Rattus norvegicus: one gene and its partners. The protein of the gene in region 1 binds, or shares a complex with, the protein of each later gene. Links are inferred from orthologs where the notes say so. Each region holds a gene or a part of one and is shown in the gene's direction. Other genes may lie near its edges. The genes, in order: Iqcd, Drc7 and Drc12.

Evidence for each region.
Region 2: Iqcd (region 1) and Drc7 share a complex: the UniProt entries of both Homo sapiens proteins name them as parts of the nexin-dynein regulatory complex. The link is inferred for Rattus norvegicus from reciprocal best matches to the Homo sapiens genes DRC10 and DRC7.
Region 3: Iqcd (region 1) and Drc12 share a complex: the UniProt entries of both Homo sapiens proteins name them as parts of the nexin-dynein regulatory complex. The link is inferred for Rattus norvegicus from reciprocal best matches to the Homo sapiens genes DRC10 and DRC12.

The regions. Positions count from the first base shown.
Region 1 is NC_086030.1:41,630,666-41,634,413, reverse strand, and holds the start of Iqcd (dynein regulatory complex protein 10), read left to right. Parts: upstream 1-1,408; 5' UTR 1,409-1,444; intron 1,445-3,748. UniProt on the Homo sapiens protein: Component of the nexin-dynein regulatory complex (N-DRC), a key regulator of ciliary/flagellar motility which maintains the alignment and integrity of the distal axoneme and regulates microtubule sliding in motile axonemes.
Region 2 is NC_086037.1:9,957,154-9,960,801, reverse strand, and holds part of Drc7 (dynein regulatory complex subunit 7), read left to right. Parts: intron 1-157; coding exon 158-316; intron 317-498; coding exon 499-717; intron 718-1,427; coding exon 1,428-1,553; intron 1,554-3,556; coding exon 3,557-3,629; intron 3,630-3,648. UniProt on the Homo sapiens protein: Component of the nexin-dynein regulatory complex (N-DRC) a key regulator of ciliary/flagellar motility which maintains the alignment and integrity of the distal axoneme and regulates microtubule sliding in motile axonemes.
Region 3 is NC_086026.1:53,473,648-53,477,395, forward strand, and holds the start of Drc12 (coiled-coil domain-containing protein 153), read left to right. Parts: upstream 1-1,011; 5' UTR 1,012-1,326; coding exon 1,327-1,396; intron 1,397-2,240; coding exon 2,241-2,306; intron 2,307-3,198; coding exon 3,199-3,318; intron 3,319-3,748. UniProt on the Homo sapiens protein: Component of the nexin-dynein regulatory complex (N-DRC), a key regulator of ciliary/flagellar motility which maintains the alignment and integrity of the distal axoneme and regulates microtubule sliding in motile axonemes.

The DNA.
Region 1 (3,748 bases):
CTGCCCTCCGTAGAGCCTGGGTTAGCGAGCGCCCACTTTATAGATGAGGCCGACTAGCTTGGCTAACTCGCCTCTCACGAGTAAACAGACACAAGTAGTCATGGAACGCGGGTGGTACTTCCTCCCCCCCCCCCCCCCCCCCCCGCATTTCAGCGCGGTCCCACAACTATTCCTAGAAACGGCACTCCACTTAAGTGAAATCCACCAACCACTTTCTTGTTTATCTTTTGAGACAGGGATATCCCTGTCGAGCCCTGTATAGCCTCGAAGTTGCCATCCTCCTGCCTCTGCCTCCCAAGGAACCTATGACTTTTCAAAGAGAAAGAAACGGGCCCAGAGAGGAGAAGGAAACTGTCCAAGGTTACACAGCAGGCTCAGACACAGACTCAGAGCTCCTCAGGTCCTGCCCTTTGGCAAACCTCGGTTCTCACTCTAGAGAGGAACCAGAGAGTCACCCACAGGGTAAGGTCACCCCTGGAAGAAAGTCCGAGGATCAGATGGCTAACTGCAATCCTTCGGTTTGTCCTCTGGGGCAGACTGACCGGGGCAGGAGTCCCCGGCCGGGTCACAAGAGGACACAGCCCCGGGAAGTGAGGGGAGGGAAGGCGGGGAGGAAGGGTCACCCAGAGGCTCCAGCTCCCCATGATCCCCGTTGCAGTCCGGGTCCAGAAAGTCAGGCCAAATAAAAGGCGTGCAAAGAGAAGGGGATCTTCAGGGAGAGAAGCACGCGGGCCACCTCCCAAGGCCCCGCCTCGGGCTTCGGGAGCACCCAGTCCCAGTCCAGCCCCTTCTCTGCACCCTCTGACCCCTGACCCCTGTCCTCCGGCCAAGATCGCGCACCCCTCGGATTCTTACACGCGCCGTCCCGGATCCCGCACCGTGCACCGGGTCTGCACAGCGCAGCTCAGCCCGCAGCTGCTGCCGCCAATATCCCCACAGCGGAGCCTCAGCAGCCGCCACCGCCGCCTCACCGCTGCCACAGCGGCAGCTGCGCCAGCCCTCGCATCCGCCGACTCCTGTCACTCAGCCTCGCAAGCCCCGCCCACGGCCCTACGCCACGGCCTATTGGCCATCCGAGAGGTCGCAATGAAATTTGACAGGGTAAACTACATGTCACTCACTGTTCTCACAGGCCTCCTCCCGGAGGGAGGACAGAGCGAGGAAGCACCACCCATTTTTCCCCCGCCTCACTCACTCAACCAACAGGAATCCCGGGTCTTTCCATTGGCGAAACGTCAGGGAGGCGGTGATTTTGATTGGCCATCTTTAAGAAGGCGGAGCCAACTCAATCTGACTAGAAGTTGAATGGGGAAAAAGGAGGTCAGTTAAATGCAAAGTCCCGCCTTCTAGGAGTGGCTCGTAACCTAGCAACACAGGGGCCGCCGACTTGGTTAACTGTGGGCAGAGAAACTGTGGGCAGAGAAACTTGCAGCTCGTGGAGCAGGTGAGTGACAGTGGGAAAGCCCGGGGCTGCAGGCTGTGTGCACCTAGCGAGCACACCGTTCAGTGACACCCCCAGGGGTTCCCACCCCACTGCCATCCCATCCAGCTCCGGGGCCTCACTCCCCTGCCCTAGCTCCATCCAGGCCTCCTCTAGGCCTGCTGCAAAGACCACCGCGCATCCTCTTGTCCTGTCTCCTGGTCCTCATTTCATCGCTCCGCTCCTCATCCCTCAGTGGTACCATTTATGAAGACATAGAGTGAATTTAGTTCAAGTAATGGGATGGGTTGTTTTGTTTGGCGCCCACTGTCGCCACTATGTTCGGAGGTGCACGGTCCCTTTCAGTGTATTCTTAAAAATAAGGGTTTGTTGTTTGTTTTGGTTTTGAAACAGGGTTTCACTATGAAGCCTCGAACTCACTCTGTTGACCAGGCTAGCCTCAGACTCACAGAGATCCACCAATCTTTGCCTTCGAGTACTGGGATTAAAGGCATATGCCACCACCCCTAGTTAATTAGTTTTTTCTTTAATTGTTTTTAAAGGTTTTCATTATTATTATTATTTTGATCACTATGCTTGCGTTGGTGGGGTGTGTGAATGTGAACACAGAAAAAGTGTTTTGTACCCTCTAGAGCCCGGAGCTGAAATTAATTACTAGCAGGGAGTTATGAGCTGCCCAACTTAGGTTCAGGGAACTAAACTCTGGTCCTCTGAAAGAGCCATACACACTCTTTAAAATAACTTAAAGATTCATTTATTTTTACTTTCTATGTATCTGTGGGTGCCTACATGTATGTGTGTGCAGTGTATGTGCACAATGTGTGTGTGTGCTGTGACTGAGGAGGCCAGATGTGGGCACTGGATCCGCTGGACCTGGAGTTCTGGGCTGGTATGTATATGCTAGGAACAGAGCCTAGATCCTCTGCAAGAACAGCCAGTACTATTAAACACAGAGACATCTTTCCAGCCTGGTTATTTTCTGGATACACAGGATTTTGCTTTGAGGTTAACGTTACATTTTCACTCATATCCTTAAAATGTGGTTTCCTTGTGCATCCTGAAGACAAAGAAGAATTTCTTGGGAAGATTGAATGAGACGAGGCAAAGAAGGGTGGGAATGGGCACAGGCACAGGATGACTGCTCAGCTAATTGCAGTGATCCCTGCAGTGACTCATTCTTCCCTAACTCTCTCTGTCTAAACATTTCCTAGGACATTCTCTTGGCTCGCACAGTGAATCATTCACACATTTAACAGGGGTTTATTGAGTGCTTAGGGTGGTCAGTGGAGGCTGGAGAGATGGCTTAGACAATAAGAGCACAGACTGCTCTTCAGAAGACCCTTAGTTCCCAGTGCCCACATAAAGTGGGTAATTTGACTCCCAGGTGATCCAGCGCCCTCTTCTGGCCCCAAAGACACCTGCACTCATATAGATATACACACACACACAGGCACATGCACACTTTTTCTTTGAGCCCCTAGCGGGTGTTCTTGGAATCAAACGTGATTAAAATTCAAGAACATTTGAAACAGCATCAGAGGAAAATATCTCTGAACTTCAGGTTTCGTTATAGCAACAGGTTAGATCCTGTAGCCAACAAAAATATTTTAACTCTAATGCTTCCAAGTGCAGGAGACTTTTCATCTTTTAATGGACAAGGAAATGTGTTTTCCTTCTAGTCTCAGTACAGGTTTAATTATTGAAAGAATAACGTGGGCTCAAACTGCAGTCAGATGGCATTGAGTGTGTCTCACATGTGAGGCCTTAAATTTAATCCCCAGCACCAAAATGCCAGGCAAATACAAATTCTGTGCTTCCTACACGCGTTAATTATATTGATATCTTACACTCTGGTAATTAATGTTTCTTTAAAGATGAAGGATTTATTTTTATTCTGTGTGTCACCTGGCTTTTACACGGGTGTGAAGGAACTTCTGATTCAAGCAGCAGACATGCGTAAGCAGCAAGCATTTTACCCACCGAGCCGTCTCTCTAACCTGCATTTTAAATTCAGTTTCATTTATTTAGCATGTGTATGTGTGTGCACGTGTGTATGTGTTATGCATGTATGTGTGCACATGGATGTGTGTGCATGTGTGTTGTGTGTGTGTGCCTGCTTGCTTGTGTGTATTTGTGTGATGATATTTGTGTATGCATCTGCCTGTGTGTGTGTAGCGTATGTATGTATACAGATGTGTATTATGTATGTATGTGTATTGTGTATGCATGTGTATTTGTAGTCATGTAATCATATGTGTATGTGTATCACGTGTGCATGTGCATGTATGTGCATATGTATATGCATGT
Region 2 (3,648 bases), on another chromosome or scaffold:
TCTGGGATCCAGGTCAACTGGGCTGCACTTGCATTCGTGCAAGCTTATTTGAGTTTGTGTGCGTGCTTAAATATTCTCGTGCTAGCCCTCGTCTGTCCCATTAAGCCTGTGTAGAGTGCAGGTGGAAGTTCGACTTCCCGCTCTTCTTGGGTGACAGATAGTCGCGAAGAAAGAGAAGGTAGCGCCTAAGAAATATGCCGTCAAGCCGCCCCGGGACCTGACCAGCAGGTTTGAGCAGGAGCAAGAGGAGAAGAGACTACAGGCGATAAAGGACCAAGAACTGAAGCGGCTTAAGGAAGAGGAAGAACGCCTCCTGGTGGGTCTCCACGGGCATGCAACCCTGCCATAGCTGGTTACGTGGGCCCAATGGATAACATATGAGGACCTTCTCTTAAGATTCACCAAAGCACCCCTTATCCGTAGAACGCATTGCATTTCTTTGGATGAAATCTCACCCAGGGTGCCCTAAAGAGCGAACCACCCAACTTCCCTGTGTAGGAAGCAGAGAAAGCGAAGCCTGACCCCCTGCATGGCCTGCGGGTGCACTCCTGGGTTCTGGTGCTGTCGGGAAAGCGCGAGGTGCCTGAGAGCTTCTTCATCGACCCTTTTACCGGGCGCAGCTACGGCACCAAGGATGACCACTTCCTGGGCATCGAGAGTCTCTGGAACCACAAGAACTACTGGATCAATATGCAGGACTGCTGGAACTGCTGTAAGGTGTGCGGGAGTTGGGGGGTGGAGACCAAGGATGTGGCCCGTGGGTGGTCTGGCCACACCCCCCCCATAGCAGGGTTACGTATGGTAGAGATGCCAAAAGCCGCACCCCCGGCTCTCAAGGGCCATTCTAGCTATATGACCTTCCCCAGTTTGTTCTGTGCGGTTTTTTTTTTCTTTACACACCAGAAGAGGGCATCAGATCCCATTACAGATGGTCATGAGCCACCATGTGGTTGCTGGGGTTTGAACTCAGGACCTCTGGAAGAGCAGTCAGTGCTCTTAACCACTGAGCCATCTCTCCAGCCCAGGATAGGAACTTAAAGAATGAAAATTCTTTGATTTACAGTTCCAGAGATTGGAAATCCAGGACCGAGATCCTGGCAGGGCTGGTTCCTTCTGAGATCTCCTGTAGCCACGTGGTTCCTGGTTCTTCCCTCCCTTAGTGACCTACAATGTCTTCATGTACAGGCTGTCCCCAGCAGGGGGCACTGATGAGTCTCTTCTGGACATGCTATAGGATTTCTTCCTTGGGATGATGGGATGGGAGTGGGGGCCTCAGTTCCCCTGATGAGATGGAGAATGTGGCTGGACTCTTAGAGACTGGATGGAGCTGACATTCTGCAGAGCCTCAAGTAATAGCCATTGCCCCTTAGGAGCAGGCATAGTTACAGGGTGCAGGGGGTACACTCAGTTGGTTCCCCCTCCATCAGGACTTGATCTTTGACCTGGGAGACCCTGTGAGATGGGAGTACATGCTCTTGGGGACCGATAAGCCTCACCTGTCCTTGACTGATGATGACGACGAAGGGCTGGATGACGATGAGGACGAAGATCAGGTGAGTCTGGTAGCATGGGGGCGGGTCGAGGGTCCTCACTCCATTTTGGGTCAGGCAGCCTGACAGACATCCCTGAAAACATGTGCGTGTATGGGGGGTGTCCAAACCTATCAGTCATACACTCTTCAACGCAGAGGGGTCTGTAGAGCTCTCATTTTACAGATGCGGTGAGCATCCCAGAACCTCTCAGGAGGTTAGGGGAGGGACAGTACTTGAATTCAGTCTCTCCCGTCTGGAACTCTGATCAAAGGTTTGGACAGTTCCTTAGAGAGACCATCTCTTGGAGTGGGAGCCCTAGCTCCTCTTTAACCACCATGATGATTGTTCTATCAAGCTAGGCCTTTCCTTCTGATCCTATTAGGTCTTCTAAAGACCCCTGGCCTGGGTATCCCGTCATCAGCCTTCTGTCTGTCATCTTTCAACAAGGGGTGTGTGTGGGGTGGGGTACTTCATGCATGGGGTCCTGTGTGAGAAAGGAGAGACTAGGAGGCAAATTCCCCTTGCTTTGGGAATCTCCCATGCCTTCTTTACATGTAAAACTAGGGTGAGGGTCATGGTCTGTGTTTGGTATCCATAGCAACAATAACACATGTATCTGCTGGCATCGCCATAAGGGAAGCCCCACACTCCCGGAGGCTAGAAATTCAGGATCAAAGGTGCTAGCAGGGCTGGTTTCTTCAGAGATCCCCTGGGTTTGCTGATGGCCATGAACACCGTAGTTTTATCTGGCCCCCCTCTCTATGAATCTGTGTCCTAATTCCTTTGTCTCATAAGGACACTTTGCATATTGTAATAGGATCACCTAAAGACCCAATTTAGACTCCATGACCTTACCCATAAAGACCTGACTTCCAAATGCAACTGGATTCATAGGTACTGGGGGTGAGGGCTTTAGCACATGATTTTAGAGGTAGGTTGAGCAAACCCATATCAACAGGCAACACTGCGGGGACAGGTTCTGTTTCTAGTGCGGAATCTGAGTTCTCTCATGTAAATCTCTGCCTCCTGAGTAGCCAAGGACAACATATACACAGCAGGGCCAAATGAGACACTGAAGGACCCACCCAATAAGTGAGAGATCTGGGAGCCAAACCCCAACAGTCTGGTTGCCTATCTGGGCTCTTCGTGGTGACTGTTCAGCTCAGAAGGCTGCCTAAGAATGACTGAGGCCACCTTGTCCTCCCTCTCCTCGATTCTGAACACTGGTGTCCCCGTTTGCTGCGGGGCATAGACCAGCAGTGTGTACCCTTCAACCTAGGAGCCTGCTCCTTCTGGAAGCCCTGTCACACCCCTGGAATGAGAATCCTGGTCCCTCCAACATGGATAGATGATACAGCCTGAGCGCCAGCTCTCAGCTGTAGGGCCAGGCCTGGGATTCCAGGGTTGTCTCAGAAAAGTCCCTATGTCCTCTGCTGACTGAGATGACCTTGTGTGATCTCAAAAGAAGTCACAATTAGATGAGCACGCGTCCAAGGTCTGAGCATTGTCTATGGCAAAAAGAATACACACAGAAAATCTTGAGCTTGGTTTGAGGATCACTTGTCTAGACCAGGCCTATTTCACAGACCTTGGAAGAACAGCCAAGACTTATAACATCCATTAGTCCTCCCAAGAGGCCTAGTTAACAGCTAAGGAAACCTAGGTTTAGAGTGGATGAAAAGCTTACCCAGCCCTCCTTACCTGGTACTAGGTCTAGCCAAAGGTTTGGCTCCCTCTGACTCAGGATCCCCTCTCTGAGTAGCCGTCATGGCCACAAGTGGTTTGGCTGGAAGGGTGGGATTTGAGAACAGATGCCTATCATCTTAGACCAGGCAAGTAGGGACTAGGCAAGTCCACCCAAACCTACCCCTCTCCTCCCCTATCCTGGATCATCTTCTGACTTCTTGCTTTTCTGGGGGAAACTGACAGCCCCCTCAGCAAGTCTGAGTCTCGGGTAGGGGACAGAGCTGCACCATGGCCTCTGCTCTAAATCCCTGGCCAGCAACCACCTCTTTTCCTCACAGGGCAAAGAGGAGGAGGATAAGAGCTTTGACATGCCGCCTTCGTGGGTCGCCCAGATTGAGATCACTCCAGAAGGTCTCTGTCATTCACTGGT
Region 3 (3,748 bases), on another chromosome or scaffold:
ATCAATTTTTAATTATATATAAGATACTAAAAAGCACCCGCTAAAGGGAATCTCCCCCAATATCGCCCAAGAAATTACTAAACTGCAAATAGGGGATGCAGAAGGTCAAGCAGGTCCACTAGAGGGAGCCCTAACCAACTTTATGCTGCAGGGTGCCTGGGGGCTGCAGATTAAACCTCATAAAGAAATAGGGGGAGGAGGCAAGATTGACTGGGAGAGAAAAAAGGTCCTGCAAACACACCACCGAAGTCAGGAGCTACAAAACGTATACACCAAGAAATTCAAGCTGAGGGGCTGGGGATTTAGCTCAGTGGTAGAGCGCTTACCTAGGAAGCGCAAGGCCCTGGGTTCGGTCCCCAGCTCCGAAAAAAAGAACCAAAAAAAAAAAAAAAAAAAAAAGAAATTCAAGCTGAGCAAAATTAAGTAGCTGAACTCATGGACTCTGCCTAATGTGTGCTCCTCTCTCTGGGTGGGTCAACATCCTGAAGTCCATGGCTCCACATCTTGTAAGTGGAAAACTTTCAACACCTGTGCCAGAAAGTGTTTCCCTCACATATCACAGTAGCCTTTTGAAGCATGAACCTTCGTTTTCAAAGTAAATAACATCACTGTATTCTCGAGAACTCCAGATATAAAGTAGCCATCATGGCTACTGTCCCTGCCTTTCTGCTATGTCTGTAAAACACTGTTCTCCAAGACTAAATTTCTAGATTCCTAGCCTAGAGAGTCTCAGGCAGTGTAGACATGAAAAATAGCCATTCAACTCCAAAGCTTTTCTTTAGGGCTGGGACATGGACGTGAGAAGAGAAGCTTCCCTTTGGTTTAGCTCACCACCTGCCTGTTTCCCAGTTGCCCGGACAACCTGCAGTCTCCAGAAACCCAACATCCCAGTTCTTGGTCCTGCCTCTTGAGGAAGTTTTACACCCTGGATTGGCTCCCAGGACCCGGGCTCCTCCCTAGGCTCAATCTGCTTGGATCTCTCTTTACTGTCCCCATGGCATTCCCCAGGGAGACACCACACAAGCAAGAGAGAGTCTTGCAGGTAGATAGGAGGGGGGAGAAGGCATACTTTGGGGAGAGAGAAGGGACCAGGTCCAGAAGTTTCTCAAGAGGCTAACTGCTGCACATAGAATTATTCTCCCTCACTGACTCCATCCCTCCCCAAGGGTCCCAGGAGACCAAGAAGCAAAGCTTCTAGAAAGTGTAAGATACACTGGAAGACTAGAATTCTGAAGCTCCAGAGACTCCCAGCTTGGTCTAAGAGTCAGGAAAGCATGTCTGTCTGCTGATCCACATAGAAGGTCTTCCCTTCGCCAGGACAGCAGGATGCCACCTAAAACCAAAGGAAAGGGGAGAAAAGCTGCCACACGGAAGAAGAAAAAGAATTCAAGTCCTGGTGAGTCACAGTGGGTAAAGGGCAGTGTCCCTGTGTGTCCTTGTCCACAGTCCACACAAAGGTCCTCAGAGGGAATCCAGCCCATCGGGCAACAAAATGGAGTGGGTTTCTTTTGGTTTTGTCTTTTGTTCTTTTGATACAGGGTCACGATGGAACCCAGGCAAGCCTCAAACATATCCTCCTAGTCTTCCTAGTGCTGGGATTGTCTGGTGCTCCCAGTGCCTGGCACTAGGCACTGCCACCACAGTTGGCTAAAGTGAAGCCTTCTTTTAAAAAAATATTTATGGGTTGGGGATTTAGCTCAGTGGTAGAGCGCTTGCCTAGGAAGCACAAGGCCCTGGGTTCGGTCCCCAGCTCCGAAAAAAAGAACCAAAAAAAAAATATTTATTTATTTTATGTATATGAGCACACTGTAGCTGACTTCAGACACACCGGAAGAGGGCATCGGATCTCATTTCAGATGGTTGTGAGCCACCATGTGGTTGCTGGGGATTGAACTCAGGACCTCTGGAAGAGCAGTCAGTGCTCTTAACCGCTGAGCCATCTCTCCAGCTCAAGTGAAGCTTTCTTGCCCTCCTCTTCAGAGCCTTGAGTCCAGGTTCCACCAGGCTGGGGAACCGGAGAATACTTCAATCCCCCTGGAGCCCCATCTAGCTCTTTGCCTTTGTCACAGTTTTCTTTTGAGCACCCACCAAGTACAAGGCAGTGAAGCAGTGAATTTGTCCGATTTTTGCCATTGAGTATCCCTCCCTCAGTGATTTTTCCTCCATCCTGCAAGAAGCATGGAAGACGGAGCAGGATCGAGATCAAGATAGCCTAAGACTTTGTGGTCTTGCCATGACAGGTGTGGAGGCTGAGGCCAAGCACAGGCTGGTGCTGCTAGAGAAGGAGCTGCTTCAGGACCACTTAGGTAAGAAGAGTGGAGCCTCAGGAGACAGCAGAGATGATGTCCTAATCAGGGTTATCCTCCTGCTGTGAGGAAACATCACGACCAAAGCAACTTGGGAAGGAGATGGTTTATCTGGCTTGTGCTTCCAAAGCAGTTTATTATTGAAGGAAGTCAGGCCAGGAACCCAAACAGGGCAGGAACCTGGAGGCAGGAGCTGATGCAGAGGCCATGGAGGGATGCTGCTCACTGGCTTGCTCCCCGTGGTTTGCTCAGCCTGCTTTCTTATAGAACCCGGGACCACCAGCCCAGGGGCAGCACCACCCATAGTGGGCTGGACCCTCCCCATCGATCACTCATTAAGACAATACCCCATAGGCTTGTCTACAGCCAGGTCTTAGAGAAGCATTCTCCTCCCTCCTCTCTGATGACTCTAGCTTGTGTCAAGTTGACACAGAACTATTCACGCAGCCCATGGCACATGGGGCATTTCTGGGTTCTTGGAGAACTGGCAGTTTAAACTATGTCCAGGGGGTGCTAAACCAAGCCAGCCATTCTCTGTTGGCAAAGATCGTGAAGAAAGGGTAGGCAGTGAAGGTGATGAAGAAGCTGTTCTTCTCCCCTGACTCTGGGAATGTAATCACAACCCCATTCGTGAGAGCTAAGTAGTCTACCATGAAGCTAACCTGCAGCTCAGGGAAGCAAGCCATTGTTTTTTAGTAACCAGAACAGGGAGTGACTATTGACTCTGTAGGAATAGAAACTTTATGGGTTTCAAAGGGGGATGGGGGGAGAGACACGGAATAAGAGGTTGACACCTGTCAAGTTCCCAGAGAGACACATAGTTCAAGGCTGTGGTGACTGAGTCCATGGCATCCTCAGCCAGACCTGAGCATGGCTCTGAGATTATTCACAGCTCTACAGAGGGAAGAGGCTTGCCGAGCCAAGGCTTCCGAAGACAGGCTGAAACAGAGGTTACAAGGGCTGGAAGCTGAACTGGAAAGAACCCAAAGTGAAGGGCGGGCTGTATATGCAGGTATGTTTGATCAGGTAGGCAGGAAATGGGCCTGGAGGAGGACAAGCAAGAGGGTCAGGGAATCCAAGGACGGGAAATGAAGAGGAATTCCAACTGCTATACTTCCGTGCGTAGGCAGTGTCCTGAGAATCAAAGATAGATCCCTGGTAGAAGGTGGATTCCCACATTCTAGAGTGTCTAATGCGCCGTGCTTAGTGTTTGCGTGATACAAAATATAGTCACAGCCCTTATCTTCTTCATCTTTGGGAGTAAGTAGGAGGAATTGCCAGAATCCCCCCTAAATATGGGGGAAAGGGTCTTGTTTCTTATCCCCCAAATTTTCAAGGTCTCCCGAGTTTCTTGGTTCTGTTCCTCCACCGAGACTCCACTGAGACATGTAACTTTGTTTCCTTTCTTCATGCCTCCATCCCTACCTTGGTTCCTGCTGCCT